3 linked regions of the Schizosaccharomyces pombe genome follow. The gene in region 1 interacts genetically with each later gene. Each region holds a gene or a part of one and is shown in the gene's direction. Other genes may lie near its edges.

The links. A genetic interaction does not mean that the proteins touch.
Region 2: of pot1 (region 1) and chk1, a mutation in one rescues a mutant of the other (synthetic rescue), as found in Schizosaccharomyces pombe (3 studies listed by BioGRID, with this or other methods).
Region 3: mutations in pot1 (region 1) and pik1 are lethal when combined (synthetic lethality), as found in Schizosaccharomyces pombe (one study listed by BioGRID).

Annotation. Positions count from the first base shown.
Region 1 is NC_003424.3:4,127,199-4,132,863, forward strand, and holds pot1 (shelterin complex subunit Pot1), read left to right. Parts: upstream 1-2,025; 5' UTR 2,026-2,330; coding exon 2,331-2,399; exon of another isoform or gene 2,400-2,445; coding exon 2,446-2,566; exon of another isoform or gene 2,567-2,596; intron 2,597-2,638; coding exon 2,639-4,116; 3' UTR 4,117-4,367; downstream 4,368-5,665. Other genes in the region: mga2 (IPT/TIG ankyrin repeat-containing transcription regulator), read left to right, coding at 1-1,469; SPOM_SPAC26H5.07C (seven transmembrane receptor protein), read right to left, coding at 4,368-5,665. UniProt on the Schizosaccharomyces pombe protein: Single-stranded telomeric DNA-binding protein that is required to protect the 3'-end telomeric overhang. It binds the consensus sequence 5'-GGTTAC-3'. Regulates telomerase and telomere length.
Region 2 is NC_003421.2:1,058,107-1,064,978, forward strand, and holds chk1 (protein kinase Chk1), read left to right. Parts: upstream 1-1,689; 5' UTR 1,690-1,913; coding exon 1,914-1,981; intron 1,982-2,026; coding exon 2,027-2,268; exon of another isoform or gene 2,269-2,314; coding exon 2,315-2,743; exon of another isoform or gene 2,744-2,781; coding exon 2,782-2,989; exon of another isoform or gene 2,990-3,035; coding exon 3,036-3,225; intron 3,226-3,270; coding exon 3,271-3,567; exon of another isoform or gene 3,568-3,612; coding exon 3,613-3,669; 3' UTR 3,670-3,878; coding exon of another isoform or gene 3,879-6,089; 3' UTR 6,090-6,337; downstream 6,338-6,872. Other genes in the region: gid1 (putative Ran GTPase binding protein), read right to left, coding at 1-83; ubiquitin-conjugating enzyme E2-C Ubc11, read right to left, coding at 784-865, 916-1,151, 1,321-1,410, 1,461-1,488, 1,537-1,631; protein Meu27, read right to left, coding at 3,879-6,089.
Region 3 is NC_003424.3:5,048,620-5,054,328, reverse strand, and holds pik1 (Golgi-specific 1-phosphatidylinositol 4-kinase, type III-beta Pik1), read left to right. Parts: upstream 1-1,920; 5' UTR 1,921-2,069; coding exon 2,070-2,093; exon of another isoform or gene 2,094-2,142; coding exon 2,143-2,261; exon of another isoform or gene 2,262-2,305; intron 2,306-2,310; coding exon 2,311-2,352; intron 2,353-2,503; exon of another isoform or gene 2,504-2,549; coding exon 2,550-4,920; 3' UTR 4,921-5,174; downstream 5,175-5,709. Other genes in the region: glo3 (ARF GTPase-activating protein), read left to right, coding at 1-1,222. UniProt on the Schizosaccharomyces pombe protein: Acts on phosphatidylinositol (PI) in the first committed step in the production of the second messenger inositol 1,4,5,-trisphosphate. PIK1 is part of a nuclear phosphoinositide cycle and could control cytokinesis through the actin cytoskeleton.

The DNA of each region.
Region 1 (5,665 bases):
TTATTCCTAATAAGGGTTCAATCATGGGAGGTTATGAAGTTACAATTCTTGGCGCGAACTTTTTTAATGGATTAGTCTGTTTATTTGGTGACAACCCAGCTGCTGTAACTTTTTCGTGGAGTGAGTCAACGATTATAGCGACTTGTCCTCCTGCAACTAATGCTGGAACCGTTCCTGTAACCTTTCAGAACTATAATTCATCTTCTGAAGCGCCAGTAATGTTTACTTATGAAGATAATTTAGATAATGAACTTTACAAATTAACTGTTCAAGTTTTAGGCTTAAAACTTACTGGATCTATTCAAAACCCATTAACGTTATCCAAAAAATTGTTGAGTTCATGGCGCGACGATTTTGCTCAATATATAACAAATTCTATTAAGCAGCCTCCTAACAGTGAATCTAAAGGTCAGTCTAAAAAAACCTTATTGCATGATAGCAATATGGAATCGCTTAAATCGGTTATTTCGCGGATTGTGAAAAAAGACAGTAATCAGTCTGATGACAGTGTTGAAAGTACTATCCTCGCAGCATTTGCTCTTGTTACAGATACAACGACACCATACCTTTCTGATTTTAGTCTTGTTAACGAATCTGGTAGGTCACTTCTCCACCTTACTGCTGCCTGTGGATTGTCTAATGCTTCGACGTTCTTATGCAACGCAGGATGCGATGTTAACAAAAGGGACGCACTTGGCTATACACCACTGCATTATGCTTCATTGTATGATCATAAAGACATATGTGTTAATTTACTTTCCAACGGTGCCAAGCCTGATGTTATAGGAGCTAGCGGTAAAAAACCGATAGACCTCTCCTCTTCTGAGCCTATAAAACTGGTCTTTAAGGAAGCAAATAATGAACAAGCCCAAAGTATTTCTCGCTCTCTTATTAAGGATTCTGAAGGCTCCATTAATACAAATGAAACCTTAGAATCAACCAGTATTGTTAACGAAATTGAGGAATCTGCTGTTCAGACCAAGTCATATAGTGAAAGTATGTGGAATAAAACTGTTACAATGTTTCCATCGCTTCAAGAACTACCTCAGAATTATATGAGTGAAGTTCCATCCATGATGCAAAAAGCCATGCTGTCAACCTTAAAAAGTATATCGGCCATTCCCGATGATGTACCCCCTCCTTATTCTGAGTTTGCTGATGATACGACAGCGCAAGCTGGTTCTAGTAAAAGAGATAGCGCTATATCTGAAGATCCCGATCATCACAAAAGTGTTTGGTGGTCTTTGAGATGGCAATCTCGGCTTGTTGGTCGTGGAAAATCTACTGCTCTTACTCCTGAAGAAACCAGAGCAATACAGGAGCAGGCAAAGACACTGAAAAAGGCAGGAATGGACTTTATGCTATTCTCTTTCTGGTTACCTGCCCTACTTTTGCTGAGTATCTTTGGTCTTCGAAGCTATGCTCAAATGATCGGGGGATATTTATATCGCTGCATAATTGGCATTTAGGTTTGACGAACAACCATGCATGTTTTTTTCTTTCTTTTAGTTTTATTCTTTTTTGTAGATTATGAGCAAACTACTGTCAAAACTTAGGTATTATGACAATGAAATCGTATATATTATATTCGATTGGATCAATTTTTTATTATATTGAAAGTAATTGCTTATTTTGTAAGTTAAACTTACATGGGTTTAAACGCATAGAGCAGGTTGGCGCTTTTAAAACCAAAATAGATCGTTGCAGGTTTGCTGTTCTGGATCGTGAATGCAATACCTTAGGAAAGTCTTTTAATAAGCTATCGCTTTTTGCATTGCATTCTTTTTCTAAACTGAACGTTAGATTAGCTAAAGTAAGCGTCTTGAGTTTTCGAGATGAACCGCATACATTAAAATTTTTAAGTACCAATTGGCATGAACCGGTATGCGATCTGCTTATTATAATACTAGTAAATCTTGATACTCGGCAAACTCTTTCAATAATAGCCTAGCAGAAACTGGGATATGTCTAAAGTTTTACAACTGCGCTCAGCTTAAGGACTTTACGGCGATCCATTTAATAGCTAGCCATGAACACTCATAACCTCAAGATTGAGGAGTGGGTCATTCTTTTGCTTGATAAAGAAACAAATTCATTATTGGTAAAATAAAACTGAATAACCCTTAGTTCATCCTAGGAATTTGAAGAAGGGGAATGATCAAGCTTGAACAAGTAACTCTCACGCAGTCTATTGAATAATCTGAAGGTTCATCACTTTCAAGGGGTTGTCTTGGTTTAAAAAGCTTTTACCAATTCCATTTAGGTTTCTGAGAAAGGCTAAAACTCATTTGTTGTTCTTAAAGGATATTTGGATCATTCGTTGATCAAGCATGGGAGAGGACGTTATTGACAGTCTTCAGTTGAATGAGTTATTAAATGCTGGAGAATATAAGATTGGAGTGAGATATCAATGGATTTATATTTGTTTTGCTAACAATGAAAAAGGAACTTACATTTCAGTCCATTAGAAGCTCTCAAGAATTACAAAAGAAGAATACTATTGTCAATTTGTTTGGAATAGTAAAAGATTTTACCCCTAGTCGCCAAAGTCTACATGGAACTAAGGGTATGCTTGCTTATCATGGTGGAAACTATACTTTTTATTTTTCCAGTCAAGAGCTAATAATCATGTTTTTAGATTGGGTAACCACCGTATATTTGTGGGATCCAACATGTGATACATCAAGCATCGGACTACAGATACACTTGTTCAGCAAACAGGGAAATGATTTGCCTGTAATCAAGCAGGTGGGGCAACCGCTTTTGCTTCATCAAATCACATTAAGAAGTTATAGAGACAGGACTCAAGGTTTGTCTAAGGATCAATTTCGATATGCACTTTGGCCAGACTTTTCTTCTAATTCCAAAGATACTCTCTGTCCTCAACCAATGCCTCGTTTAATGAAAACGGGAGACAAGGAAGAGCAATTCGCCTTGTTGTTAAATAAAATTTGGGATGAGCAAACTAATAAACATAAAAATGGCGAATTATTGAGTACCTCTTCTGCTCGTCAAAATCAAACTGGATTGAGTTACCCTTCTGTCTCTTTTTCTCTGCTATCACAAATAACTCCACATCAACGTTGTAGCTTTTACGCTCAGGTAATTAAAACTTGGTACAGTGATAAAAACTTTACTCTTTATGTCACTGATTATACGGAAAATGAGCTTTTTTTTCCAATGTCTCCGTATACTAGCTCCTCGAGATGGAGGGGCCCTTTTGGTCGGTTTTCTATAAGGTGCATTTTATGGGATGAGCACGACTTTTACTGCCGCAACTACATTAAAGAAGGTGACTATGTGGTTATGAAAAATGTGCGAACCAAAATTGATCACCTTGGTTATCTGGAATGTATACTTCATGGGGATTCAGCAAAACGTTATAATATGAGTATAGAAAAAGTCGATTCGGAAGAACCCGAACTAAACGAAATTAAGTCACGTAAAAGGCTTTATGTTCAGAATTGCCAAAATGGTATAGAAGCAGTAATCGAGAAACTCAGTCAAAGCCAACAATCGGAAAATCCTTTTATCGCCCATGAATTAAAGCAAACTTCTGTTAATGAAATTACGGCCCATGTCATAAATGAACCTGCTAGTTTAAAATTGACTACTATTTCTACCATACTTCATGCACCTTTGCAGAATCTTCTCAAACCGAGGAAACATAGGCTACGCGTTCAGGTGGTAGATTTTTGGCCAAAGAGTTTGACGCAGTTTGCTGTGCTATCTCAACCACCATCTTCGTATGTTTGGATGTTTGCCTTGCTCGTAAGGGATGTATCGAATGTGACTTTACCGGTCATATTTTTTGATTCTGACGCTGCGGAACTTATTAACAGCTCAAAAATCCAACCTTGCAATTTAGCTGATCACCCGCAGATGACTCTTCAGCTTAAAGAAAGATTATTTCTGATTTGGGGGAACTTGGAAGAACGCATTCAGCATCACATATCGAAGGGTGAATCGCCAACTCTGGCTGCTGAAGATGTTGAAACACCATGGTTTGATATATATGTCAAAGAATACATTCCTGTAATTGGGAACACCAAAGACCATCAATCTTTGACTTTTCTTCAGAAGCGCTGGCGAGGATTTGGCACGAAAATTGTTTGACTATTGTGATACAAAACTTACAATAATGAAATGCTTACGGAAAAGAAACATAAGAAAAACAATATTTAAATTTAAGGAAAGCTCTATATTGGGAGAATTTTATAAAGCGAGCGAATTTGTACTAAGGAAAAACACAGAGGGGAAACGTGAAATATCTAATTGCTTAGACTTTATATAACATCAACTTCGAAATAATCTTAGAAATTAATTACAAAAATAATAAGGATTGGTTTGATGTATGGTGGTTACATCTAAGCAGGCTTTTGCTTAGAAGTTGCAAGTGTTGAGGCATCATCATCACTTTCATCGTCAACAGCGAATAGAGCTTGATGCTCATCGGCACTGCCATGAATAATATGAGGGTTGGCTGGAGATGTAGGACGCTCATGATGCAGATGCAAACTATCATTTGAGAGAGAGGAAGTCATCTCAAACTCATCTACATCTTGAGCAACTTGCTCACTCATTGCGAAACGACGGTTATTCTCGGTAGGACGCCACAAGTACAAAATGGTAAGCATCAAGATCAAAACAAGAATATCAGTGTATCCGTAATTAAGGAACCAAAGAAGTTTCCAGTATTTTAAGTAATAGTTCATTTGACCGTAGATACCAATCAAAATGGCATTGGCTGCGACAATCGAAGCATAAGCGACAATGCCAAAACATATAACAATCCAAAGACGAGTATACATCTGAGCCTTAACAGTTTGCTTACGAATACGGAGATCACGAATTGTATTATTTAAAGCCAATACAATCCAAAGGAACATAGCGAAGAGGGTGATTAAAAAGACAGGAGCGGCAAACAAAATGACCAAAGACTCTTTATTAGATGGGCTAATGAACAAAGATGACAAGAAAAAGCATGAAGAAACGAACTGCAAACCAGCAAGAATTTGACACTTACGAAGAAGACTTCCCAAACTAGGAACAACAATAGAGTAACCCAGTGAAACAATTAACAGCAAAAATCCGAAATAGGATTGACGAGCGGATTGAGCTAACGACAAAAAGAAAGCAAAAACTTTACTACCTGTAGTGTAACCTTTGCTATTCGCGAAATAGAAATAACCTGTAGAGACCATAGTGCAAACAATAGAAAGAGCAACAACACCTGAAATATACTTTTGAACTTGAAGGAGATCATGCCTATAGCGGAACATAATAAAAGACCACCAAATTCCAATTAAACAATTGATCGCCAAAAGAATGGGATTTAAAAACAAATGAGGATAATCAGTAGCATCCAAATTGCCAAAATAGTTTTCCCAGGTTACGGTGATTTTGTAAGCCTCGCTGGAGCCTTCAAGGGGTGCGGTAAAGACGCAATATAGACCAGATTGCTCAACCGGATATTTAAGGGGACTAACCATGGATTCAGCGTCTACGGCGGCTGAGTAAATAGAATCGTGGGGAGCGGTTTGGTTAATCAAGTAAAGACCATAATCATCGTCCTTGCAAACACCGGCTTCAATGTCTTCGTAGTTACATATATAATGCTTCTCGCCATCATCGTCTTCCATGCCGATGGCATTAACATCTTTCC
Region 2 (6,872 bases), on another chromosome or scaffold:
CCGTAATTGGTTCCTTGTAAATACAAGGGGAGATTGTCGAAGTTAATCGGCTGTTTTTCAAGATTCTTTGGTGTACTAGTCATTCGCAGGTATGCTCTTGGTAGCATATAAACAGCCAGTTTTAGTAGCTTATTCAGCTATCAGTTTAAATGTTCAATTTTCTAATCAGTTTTTCTTTTGTAATTAAATACAAATCTTTTGTAATAATAATTGGTAAAACTCTTAAATTTTTAAATGACGTGTAAATTTCAGCAACTCTATAAAATGCTCTGAGACTGAAAAGATACTTCACTATACGGCTTCATAAGGATTAAAGGCTCAAAATTAGAAATACAAATATTAGGCTGTATATACAGTCCTATTACTAATCAGAAAAAAATTCAGGCACAACATAACATTGATACTTGTCTTGCGATAATACATAACACAATGACATTGAGAATCAATAATAATAAAATAGTATTATAATCTAACGGAAAGCTAAAAAAACGACTGCATTAACGGAATGCATTAAACAAGAATAGCTTTAATCGAGCATCATAATAACAACTTCAACTTCTGGAACTAAATAATGATAGACGGTCCTTAAAAAACCATTCGGTGGTTTTCAGGAGGTTGTGGCATTGCATGAAGGAATTGCTTAATCGATGAGATGAAATAATTTCAACTTCCATTATCAATGAAGAAAGTTTAACTAAAGACATTTTTTCAAGCATTGAATAGGAAAAGAAAATCCATATGACTAAACAGAAATGAAAATGAGTATGAAATAGACCGGCCTAACTAAATTTCATCGATTTCTTTATATCTCTGCATTAAAAGACGTTTGTACTCGATAGGGTCTTTACTCCACAATTCTGCAGCTCTAAGAATTGTTAATAATCAAAAAAGGTAAATGAGATATTTTCAACATACTGAGCATTCAAGGGAGAAGCATTGTTTGGCTCACCCAGCAGACTTTGTAGAGATAACAAAATTGTCTGTACGTTATAGACTGCTGACCATTTATCTTTTAAAATGTCTAAACATATGTTTCCACTCATATCGACATTGGGGTGCCACATTGGTGAAGTAAAAATGATAGTTGGAGGGGAATATGGGTAATTAGCTGGAAATGACATTGAAATTTTAAATTTCAATCCTTCATAGTACTATTTTCGTTACGTTAGTCGTATGAAAAAGAAGAAAGAAGAGTAGACAGTTATGAAAATGTAATGACAAAGATGTGTATTAATTTTCCATTAAAGTGCAGCTACAAGTAAGCACACCAAGCATTATTCATATACTTTAAATATTAAGCTTTCAAAATAAAAGTCATACCGTATCGCTTGGGCCGGTAATTGTGCCAGCCCAATGTAGCAGGTTAGAATCAGAATCTGGAAACGCACTAATTCCAGGAGTATTGGACATCTAGTCATAAAACCCTAGTTAATAACAAAGTAAAAAAGCTTATTACAAACCATTAAACTCATTAATTCGCTTCTCAATCTACAAATGCATTAGAGACTTTTTTCCTAAAAACTGTTTATTTTTTACCGTTTTGTAACGCTATGACCGTCAACAGCCATGCCAGCAGAAGAAGAGTTTTTAGAATTAGTATGAGGGTTCTGGTTTTGCATATCAGAATCCATTCCTCAAGTTGTTACTGTAGTTTCTCAATGAGTACGTGGTGGTAGGAGAGTAAGTTATAAACACAACACAACATGTGCTAATGTACACAAGTAAACGAAAACCGGATATCAAATTATAGTCCAATTTTATATCATTATATAGATTTAAAACTCATTTAAAAATTACCTTAATTTAATCTTTTCCAGTCTTTGATGATGTTAAGACTGTAAATAATACACATGCCAAAATTTGCAACATATGCTTGTGTTATATTATAATCTTCTTTCCCTTTACACCAAAGAATGGCTCAAAAATTAGATAACTTTCCTTACCATATTGGTAGAGAAATAGGTACTGGGGCTTTTGCTTCGTATGAATTTTGATTTGAAAAATACTATATACTAACTTAAGCAAGCGTCCGTTTATGTTACGATGATAATGCTAAAATATATGCTGTCAAATTTGTCAATAAAAAACATGCTACTAGTTGTATGAATGCAGGGGTATGGGCTAGAAGGATGGCTAGTGAAATACAACTTCACAAACTATGCAATGGACATAAAAATATCATTCATTTTTATAATACAGCAGAAAATCCCCAATGGAGATGGGTAGTACTTGAATTTGCTCAAGGTGGTGACTTATTTGACAAAATAGGTGGGTGCATGAACCTTTCGTTTTTACTAACGGACTTACAATTTAGAGCCTGATGTAGGTATTGATGAGGACGTCGCTCAGTTTTATTTTGCTCAACTTATGGAAGGTATTTCCTTCATGCACTCTAAAGGTGTCGCGCATCGAGACTTGAAACCTGAGAACATCCTTTTAGATTACAATGGTAACTTAAAGATTTCAGACTTCGGCTTTGCATCTTTATTTTCCTATAAAGGTAAAAGTAGGCTTTTGAATAGTCCAGTGGGTAGTCCACCATACGCTGCTCCAGAAATTACACAGCAGTATGATGGTTCAAAAGTTGATGTCTGGTCCTGCGGTATAATTCTTTTTGCTTTGTTATTAGGCAACACACCTTGGGATGAAGCAATTAGCAACACTGGTGACTACTTGCTTTATAAAAAACAATGTGAACGCCCGTCTTACCACCCATGGAACTTGTTGTCTCCAGGAGCCTATTGTAAGTCCTGACTGAAATTCCTTTAAACTAATGATCAGCGATTATCACCGGAATGCTTCGAAGTGATCCATTTAAGCGCTACTCTGTCAAACATGTTGTACAGCACCCATGGCTTACCTCAAGTACACCATTTCGAACTAAAAATGGGAATTGTGCCGATCCTGTAGCATTGGCATCAAGGCTCATGTTGAAACTTCGTATTGATTTAGATAAACCACGTCTTGCCTCATCTAGAGCATCTCAAAAGTAAGATCTTGCACAGTTGTTTCATATTTCTAACTCTTTCAATTAGCGATAGCGGTTTTTCAATGACACAGCCAGCTTTTAAAAAAAATGACCAAAAGGAGTTGGATCGTGTAGAAGTTTATGGCGCCTTATCCCAGCCAGTACAACTTAATAAAAATATTGACGTTACTGAAATCCTTGAAAAAGACCCCTCATTGAGTCAGTTTTGTGAGAATGAAGGTTTTATTAAAAGATTGGTATTATTTATTTAAACCTAAATTTTTTCTAACTATATGAAAAAGGCCAAAAAGGCTAAGAATTTCTACGAAATTTGTCCTCCTGAAAGACTCACTAGGTTTTATTCTAGGGCGTCGAGAGAAACCATTATAGATCATCTTTATGACAGTCTACGACTACTTGCAATCTCAGTGACTATGAAATATGTTCGAAATCAGACCATCCTTTATGTTAATTTACATGATAAACGGAAATGTCTCTTGCAAGGTGTTATTGAACTAACTAATTTAGGCCATAACTTAGAGCTTATAAACTTTATAAAGCGTAATGGGGATCCTCTTGAATGGAGAAAATTTTTTAAAGTATGTCTTTATCATAGGGATTTCATATACTAATCCATGTGAAAGAACGTTGTCAGTTCAATAGGGAAGCCGATTGTTCTTACAGATGTTTCACAAAATTAATTGCACATCTTTTGAAAGGTCGTGCCAGTTCGTTTGTAAAAGAAACCTGTTGTTTGACTTCGTTGTGAATTTATTTTCAATTTTGTGGTAGTACAAATGATATCCTAGGGAATAGGATTATTAACGCTTTGTCAAGCAAATATCAATGGTTGCGAATGCTGAAGATATATTATTAGCATAAGGATAGTTCTTCCGACTGGCCATGCCGTTTAATACATCATTGTACCCAATATTCTTTTCTCACAATTCTTTCTTCTTTTTCTCTTTTTTAGTGAGATATCTGACGGCTCATTTGATTTTAAAAGGGATAACTCTTCTGAAATAACTCTTTCAAACGATTCTAAAAGGTCTTCATTTTCTTGGTCGGAGTATAAAAACTCATCTTCTTTACAAAATAGTAAAAGGTTCTTTTTTGTGAATTCTTGTCTCTCTTTGGCTTCCAGGTAAGCATGCAAAGGAAAATGTGACATCGATGAACCAGTACTTATCAATGTAGTTATCCATAAAATATCGTCTGGAGTCTCTGCAGACATTAACATGTCTTCTCTTGTAGCCTCATCTACTTTTAAAAACTTCTTTCCGTGAAGTACTTCGGGAAGCTCTAAGAAACAGTTAAAGCCCTCACACACGATATGTAGCCAGCGATGATTTTCAGTAACAACGTATATATCCGAAGATTCAATTAAATGCATCCGGATGTCTCCTATTCTCTTTTCGGCTGCTACTTTGTGAACAGGTGTTAGTTCTCCTAAACTCACCTTTTCATTCACTAGTCGTTCTAATGCTTTCCATAGATATGTTTGGTGAGCAGGAGGATAAAGATCATATAGCATTAGCTGATGAGTTAATACCTTGATGTCCATTATCCCTTTAGACAACTTTAAGTGAAGCCTTTTAATACAGCTGTTCTTGTTTACAAGTGATAGCATATTTTCAAGGCAGCTATTAGTTATTTGAGGTTTCACTAATGTTTTTGATGTTCCATTTTTAGTATCGAAGACATTCATCAAGTTTTTATCTTCGTGCTCAAAGATGGTAATAGTTACTGTAGGTGGAAAAAAGGCTTTACTCTTGAATTGAACATCTTCGATACATATATCTAGGTTATCACAAAAGAAGTTTACCCAAGGAATTTCAGTAGAGCACATGTCTGATACTTGGGCAAATTTGCAAAAGCTTGGGGTAATAACCTTTTGGTCACTGAAAAGAAACTTTGTGCATTGCTGTGACAAGTCGAGGACCCTTTCATTATCTTTTTTTTCTTTTATTGTAGCCTGTTCGTTTCTAGAGCTTTTGGATTCGAGTACACTTTCATATTTCAATTCAGAATCATATATTGGCGATACTTCACTGGAAGCGATGAGGTCGGAATATATAATCTGTGTTTCTTCTAGGTCGGGAAATTCGGTAAAATCTTTTACTCCTTCTATTATGGCTTGTTCATTTTCAAAGCACTTAGATTCGAGTATATTTTCAATTGCTAATTCAGAATCATATATCGGCGATATTTCACTTAAAGTCGTGGATTCGGGATATAAAATCTGTGAAGATAGTGATAAGTCAGAAAGCTCAGAGCTCTGTTTTATATCTTTTAATTCAGCATTTTCTGAGTGGTTCGGTTTGTGGGTACCTTTAGGTGCTGATTTGGAATTATTAATTGGCGCCAATTTGCTCAAGGTTGTAAATCTACAGCTTAGAAGCTGTGGATACCGAGGCTTAAATATATCTTTATCTCCCGTATTGCTTTCTTTCAATAGTGCCCTCTTCGGTTGAGTTAAATGCGAAAATGCCTTTGTTGCTTTTATTGCGGATGTAACCTGACTAATGGAAGAATTTTCGTTAAATTTTTCAGGTTTTGTTTGGTATTTACGAGCTGCCAAATGTAATTTGATGTTACTATTCGTTGAAGATGATATTGATTCCTTTTTATTGTATGCAGCATTCCAGTATTGGGATAAACTTTTAAACGGCGAGCTATTAATAGTTGAAAGTTTCGTCTGGAGTTCTGATTCCATAAAAGAGGTGCCGCCCAATTGCAGTATACAAGCTATGAATGTTATTGGCTTGCTTACGCCGAGCTTGTCGAAAAGGTTATTAGCCTTTGAAGGATTTTGGTTTGAAGACTTATTTTCCTGTTGACTTAAGAAGCCTTCTTCATTTTTTTTTTTTAAAGTATAATTGTTCTCTATTGATTTTGGCTCAACTTGGGGTTCTAATGGCATTTCTGCCATGCTTTCATCGTTATCAGAACCCATACAGCAGAGAGGAGCGCAAATTTTTAGGATCTTTGATTTAAAACTTGTCCAAGAGCTACCAGAGCAGTGAGTATCACATCGGTTACTTTTTCCCTTTTCCTGTATTTTATCAGGACGAAAGGCACCTGATATTTTAATCTCTGGATAAGCAATTTTACTGTTCATTACGAAGTTACTTGGCTCTTTTGAGGCTTGAGTGATTGCCAGTTGGATAACTCAGTAATTAGAGATCGTGTTCAATCTCTTGAAGTGTATACAAAGGTTGGGTAAAACATGTTCAACCTTGGGTTATTTATATTAAAAAACAATTCATTTCGTTTATATTAACACATTGTTTTATCATAACTAATAATTTATGAAATCCCTCACAATAAACAAACATCGAATGATAATTTGATGCTCACCTAACATTTGCTTAAAAAAGTGTTAAGTAAACATTTAATATTACTAAAAGATGATCATTTAAAAATAAAAGCTTTCGCTAACCATTTGCATCCTGGATAAATAGCTCAAATAACAAAGGATTTAGATTAACTGAATAGTAATAATATCCTTAGCTAAGCCTTTGAACTAAGCCTAAATAAACAACACCAATTACTCACTATTTACAATGGATGTTTGACTTGTAACCAATAAGGAGGCAAGATTTACTAAAGACAACCAAGTATAATGTTGTAAACAAAAATAATAAACAAATCAACATTGCTGCAATTATACATTCGAAAAGAATCATTTAACGCAATTCTGAGTTAAAGGAAAATAATGTGTAAATAAACAAACGAAAAAGAGTGGAATACTAGCAACTGTAAATAAACAGAAGTTATTTTTTAGTGATCGAATTATATTGTATTTATGTTGTCAAAAGTTATTGATTCATGAATACCCCCGAAAATATCTTTCTGAAGTAAAAATTTCAGAAAATAGAAAGTGTTTTATTTTCGTTCGTAT
Region 3 (5,709 bases), 920 kb from region 1:
GCGGGTCGGTGGCAATGAAAACGCCCGTAATTACTTTAAGCGTCATGGTGGGGTTTCACTTCTGAATTCCAAGGATTGTCGTTTGAAATATTCTTCCAAAACTGCAAAACAATATCTTGAAAAACTAAAGTCTCTTGCGGTAGAAGACGAGGCTAATTATCCCGATATATTGGATATGGATTTCCTTTCCAACACTCATGAAGGCAGTTCTGCTGCTGACACTACTAATGAAGATGATGACTTTTTTTCTGCTTGGGATAAAGCATCTGTGAAGAAATCGGACGATAATCTTGATGACAAAACTGACTTAGCTTCTACTAGTTCATCGGTAGTTGTTGAAAGCGGCGAGAAAGATGAGCCTGTCGTCGTCACTGAAGAGAAGACTATGGTTTCTCCCCCTTCTCGTCCAGATTCTACTTCCACTACCAAATCAAAAACTTCTTCTATTTCTTCTGCTCGTGCCCGGCCTATCCGTGCTTCCTCACGCCCTACTGCTAGTAAATTGGGTGCTAGTAGACCTCAGAAGCTCGGTATCAAAAAGGCGAATGCCGATATTGACTTCGATGAGTTCGAAAAAGCTGTATTGTCTTCCGAATCTGCGCCAACCAAAAAACCTGCTGCTGTTGCGTCTAAGGAAAGCACCGTTGATACATTGGTAGATAATGGAGTCGAGGAAGTCAAGGAGTCCACTTCGACCACTGTGCAAGGAAAGCCGGTAAAACCTGTTTTGAAATCTGCTGCATCCGCAAAGTCAACTAAGTCTGACGACTCAAACCTCAATGCAAACTTTGCACGTTTGGGATTCGGCCAGTTTGCTGCTGCATCCAATGCGCGTGCTAAGGCCGCTGCAAAGGCACGAGAACTGAAGAAAAATGAGGTTAATGCACCGACATACGCACGAGATCACTTTGCTTCTCAGAAGTCTATTTCATCTGATCAATATTTTGGTCGTGGATCGTTTGATCCCGAGGCAGCTGCCGAAGCTCAAGAACGTTTATCTTCTTTCCGAGATGCCACAGCTATTTCTTCCAAGTCCTATTTTGGTGAGGAAGAAGATGAAAACGAGGAGGGTGAATCGTCTCATCGTCCAGATAGCGCATACCTTCGTGATATAGCTGAAACTGCTACTGAAGACATTGAAGCTATTAAAGTAGCTATTCACCAAGGCGCAGAAAAACTTTCAGATTTTATTCAAAAAGTTGGTGCTCGATACAATTTTTAATTCATCCGTCCAACTTTAGCTCAAGTAGCAAGAACCTGTCTATCTGTGCCAGTATCTGTTCCCCATCTTCTCAAATTTACTTCGACGACCAAAACTAATTAGTTCAAATTGAGTTATGCCTATTCTAACCAGTTCAATATTCCGCTACTAGTATCTTACCCTTATTGATCTGACCTTGTAACAAATGCGGTTTCTTCTCGTCAATTTCTCGTGGAACCATTTTTTTTAATATTGATAGAAATTATCTAAAACTATCACATCAACTTGTATAAAGGAAAGGTTTTGAATGCATTAAACAGCCATTGCGAACAGCTACTAGATTCTCTGAATTAAAAACTACATTTTTCACTGGCATGTAGCTTATCTGGATGCTGAATACCCACTTTCTTTTTCAGCTTTGCTTCAAGGTTTCGCTGTAAGCGGAAAGTGATTTATAGGTCTCTAGGAACTGTCCTTTTCTTGAATTTTAGATAGATTAATTGATGTAGCATTCTTTTTCGTTGCAGTGATAGTAAAGCTTTGTATTGTCAATTAACAGTCCTGTTTTAGTATTATTAAAACTACATAATTAATATTGAGCTCTACTGAGAATTTATTTAGTAATATTTGGAATTGTAACAAAAATTCAATTTTTGCAACTGGCATGTTTACATTTTGAGATGATGACCTACCCTCCCCTTTTAGTGGATACTTGGCCTACGCTACTTTCCCCATTCATACTACGGTGAAGGCTAAGTGAACGAAAAATCGCATTTTTTAAGCCTTACATGGCATATATTATTTAATTTTAATTAGCATCAACATCGACTTAATATATGACGATGTTTATGCAGCTTCAAGGTTAAACATGCCATCTTCGAATTCGGGAAATGTATGACTTTTGATCGTTGTGTTAGCTGCGTAATTAACGCTATTTCTAGGAGTTACTTTTAAGATTCTTTGAGTCTGCCCATTTCACGAGTCAACTTTGTGTTGCATATCTTTCACGCTATCCTAACAATATTGGCATTCATCACTTTCTTTGCGAAAAACTAGCAACGTATGTCTACCGTATCATTTCTTTGTTTTTTATGTCTAACACATATTAGATTTCCTTATGAAGAGATAGAATTTTTTATTCCTCAATTAATGTACGTTTATTTCGATAAATAAAGAAAAATTTTTGGGGGGAAGGAAAGTACCAAAAAGTCGAGCTCATAAGTCAGTGAAAGCCGAGTATATGACTCATATGCCTATTTCATAATTTAATGACTCTCTTACCTTTTGATTTTCTTTCCTTCAAACGTTTATTCCGTTGTGTTCGTGCATCTCTAATATCATACTGTAGTCATCTCGTCCTTAACAAAGATTCTGAAAGCGTTGCTTTAGAAGAATTTATCATTTCTCAATGTGAACAAAATACACAATGCGCACTCATTACATTTTGGTATTTGCAAGCCCATATGGTGGATCTAGGTTTACAGCCGCATTCTTCTTGTTTTAAAATATGTAAACGACTTTACAATCGTATTCAGATTTTGGTTTTCATGTCATCATCATCGTTAATACAGTCCCAACAAAAAATCTCCGAAAATGTAACCCCTGCCCTAATCCTTTCAGGCATCATGCTAGGTGGTGTTTGTGTGCCTGAACTACTAAAAAAAGCTGGCCCCATTGCAATTGCTCAAGGCCGTAAAGCCCCTAGGCAAGATCCAGATGAATCAGATGTTGATGTTTTACGCCGTCTTTCCACCGAACCTCGATATTCTCTGGACGTATTACGTTCGTCTTTGAACAACTCTATTGTCGAGCAACATTCCGAAGTATCCCTTAGACTAAAAGCTCCAGAACTAACCCGCACCCATTCATATCAATCATCAGCTACATTATCTATTGACGAACAGCGTCGTGTTCTACGCTCTAATTATTTTCAACAAGAAATTCAATTTCTTTTTGCTTTACAAGATATATCTATCCGTCTCATCATTGTACCTAGACAAGCTCGCCTTTCTTCATTACGCGCCGAACTTGCTCTTTTAAATAACAACCTTCCAGCCGATGTGAACATACCGCTTTTACGATCATATCATAAAGAAGTGAGTCATAAAATCGTTCGCATTGATCCTAAAGAGGCTACCATACTCAATTCTGCCGAACGAGTACCTTATCTTATTATGGTTGAGGTCCTATCTGGTGAACTCAGCTTCGAGCCACAATCGAAGAAAAATAAGGCTAAGGTGCAAAAGATTGTCTCTCATAAAAACCAAAGAAAAAGGTGGTTTGACCTCACAGATGTCGATCCTTATACGAACCTTCAAGACAGTACCGACAATGATATTTCAGAGTCGGAAAGTGAGGGAGGGGATTTAAGTATGTCTCCTCTGATAAAAGGGTTGGTACCGGACACTCTTTCTTTGAGTAAGTCATTCTCTTCGTTTGGTAATGTATCTTTGCAGGTACCGTCCTCTCATAGAGATACCGATGTCGTCCTGTTATCTGGGCGCCACTCTGATTCTGATGGAAATGGCGCCTTAAAAAGAAGTAAAATCTATGCTTCAGAAATAACAGCGAGAATGCGAGCTGCGGCAACTATGCTAAGTCAGCTTGATGCTGAAGGTAGCAGACGTCCCAAAGCTGAGACTGAACGAATAAAAAATAGCATTATTCTTGACATGCAAAGACTCGAAGAAGAGCGCCTTAATGAACCATCCATTTATCCTGTTTCAGTCGACATATCATGCGCAGAAGATCTGCGATTTGGCAAAGAAACTCAAAAGGCAGAACGGAAAGGTGATAGAGATGATCCCAGTGCCGCTACATTCCAAGAAGATTGGTATGCCAAGAAGGAAAGGATAAGAAAGTCTTCTCCTTATGGTCATTATCCCAATTGGGATTTGGTCAGTGTGATTGTTAAAACGGGTGCGGATCTCCGGCAAGAGACATTTGCCTGTCAACTTATATACGCGTTTCAGCGTGTTTGGCTAGAGTGTAAAGAAAAGGTTTGGGTTCGAAGGATGAAAATTTTAGTGACCGGCGACAATAGTGGCTTAATAGAAACGATTACAAATGCCATTAGTGTTCACTCTATTAAAAAGAATTTGACGAAACAGCTTCGGGAAGCTGAACTAGCCCAAGGAAAAATTGCTGGTAAAAATGTTGTTACATTGAAGGATTATTTTATAAAGCAGTTTGGTGATCCCAACAGCAGCCGGTATCGACAGGCACAGACAAATTTCCTTCAATCATTAGTGGCATATAGCATTATATCATACTTACTACAGTTAAAGGATAGACATAATGGTAACGTTCTTATTGATAGTGAAGGTCATATTATACATATTGATTTTGGCTTTTTACTTACGAATACACCGGGGAATGTTGGCTTTGAAAGCGCTCCATTTAAGCTTACGGCGGATTATTTAGAAATCCTTGACGACCGGTTTGATGAATATCGTTCCTTGATGAAAGCTGCGTTTAAATCTGTTCGAAAAAACGCTGATCAGATCATTTTGCTTGTTGAAGTTATGCAAAATAATTCCACAATGCCTTGCTTTCGTGCTGGTGAAAACACAAGTGCACAACTTTTGCAACGTTTTCAACTACAGCTTGGTGACAAAGAATGTGATGACTTTGTGGATTTGTTGATTCAAAAGGCAAATTGTAGTGTTTGGACGAGACTTTATGATCTGTTTCAAAATATTACGAACGGAATTTACTAGTAAGTGGCTATTCGTTTTCTCTTTTCATTTTTTTCGAATACAGCTACGGAGCTTCCACACTTGAACCATACTGCTGGTTGGCTTTTTTAACTTTCAATATTGTATTAAAATCACCACATTCACCATGGTTCGTAAATTTGGTAATTTTTTTGTTAGCTAGATTAGCTATATTAATGCATTAAAAATATTTTATGTGATCTATATGATTTATCATACCCACTAGAAACCCTTGCAATTATAATATACTATTAAAGCATACTGTCTAAATTAACTGCATTTCTAAGTTAGCAAACAATTTGGCGTAGTTAAATCCGGGTTAAAGAATCCTTTCGCACTTCCGTATATTGACATACCAAATTTTAAAGTAAGATTAGGTACTGCAACCCACTTCAATTTACCCTTTACCATCAAATTGAAAAATTAGGCGCAAACAGTAATTGTATATTAGAACTTGGAATTTTTTTCTTTTCATTTATAATTTTGTGTTATAATCCTTTGTTCCTTCTTCTACTAGGGGTTGTTTCTTTGCACAATATTGTAGTTGACATTGGTTAATGGGGTATCTTCATATTGATTACAGTATTCGTGATATAACAAAGAAATTTGGTAGGAAAATTTTAGTGTTGATTAATAGTTTTTCTTATCAGGATTATATCCAACTGAGGTGAATTATTACTTGAGACTTTACATCATTAAATTTTATGCAGGTATTAAGTCGTGATTATATCAGTCAAACAAGTACCTTTTGAATTCATTTTCATACCTCTTCTTGCTTGAAAGAAAGAAAAT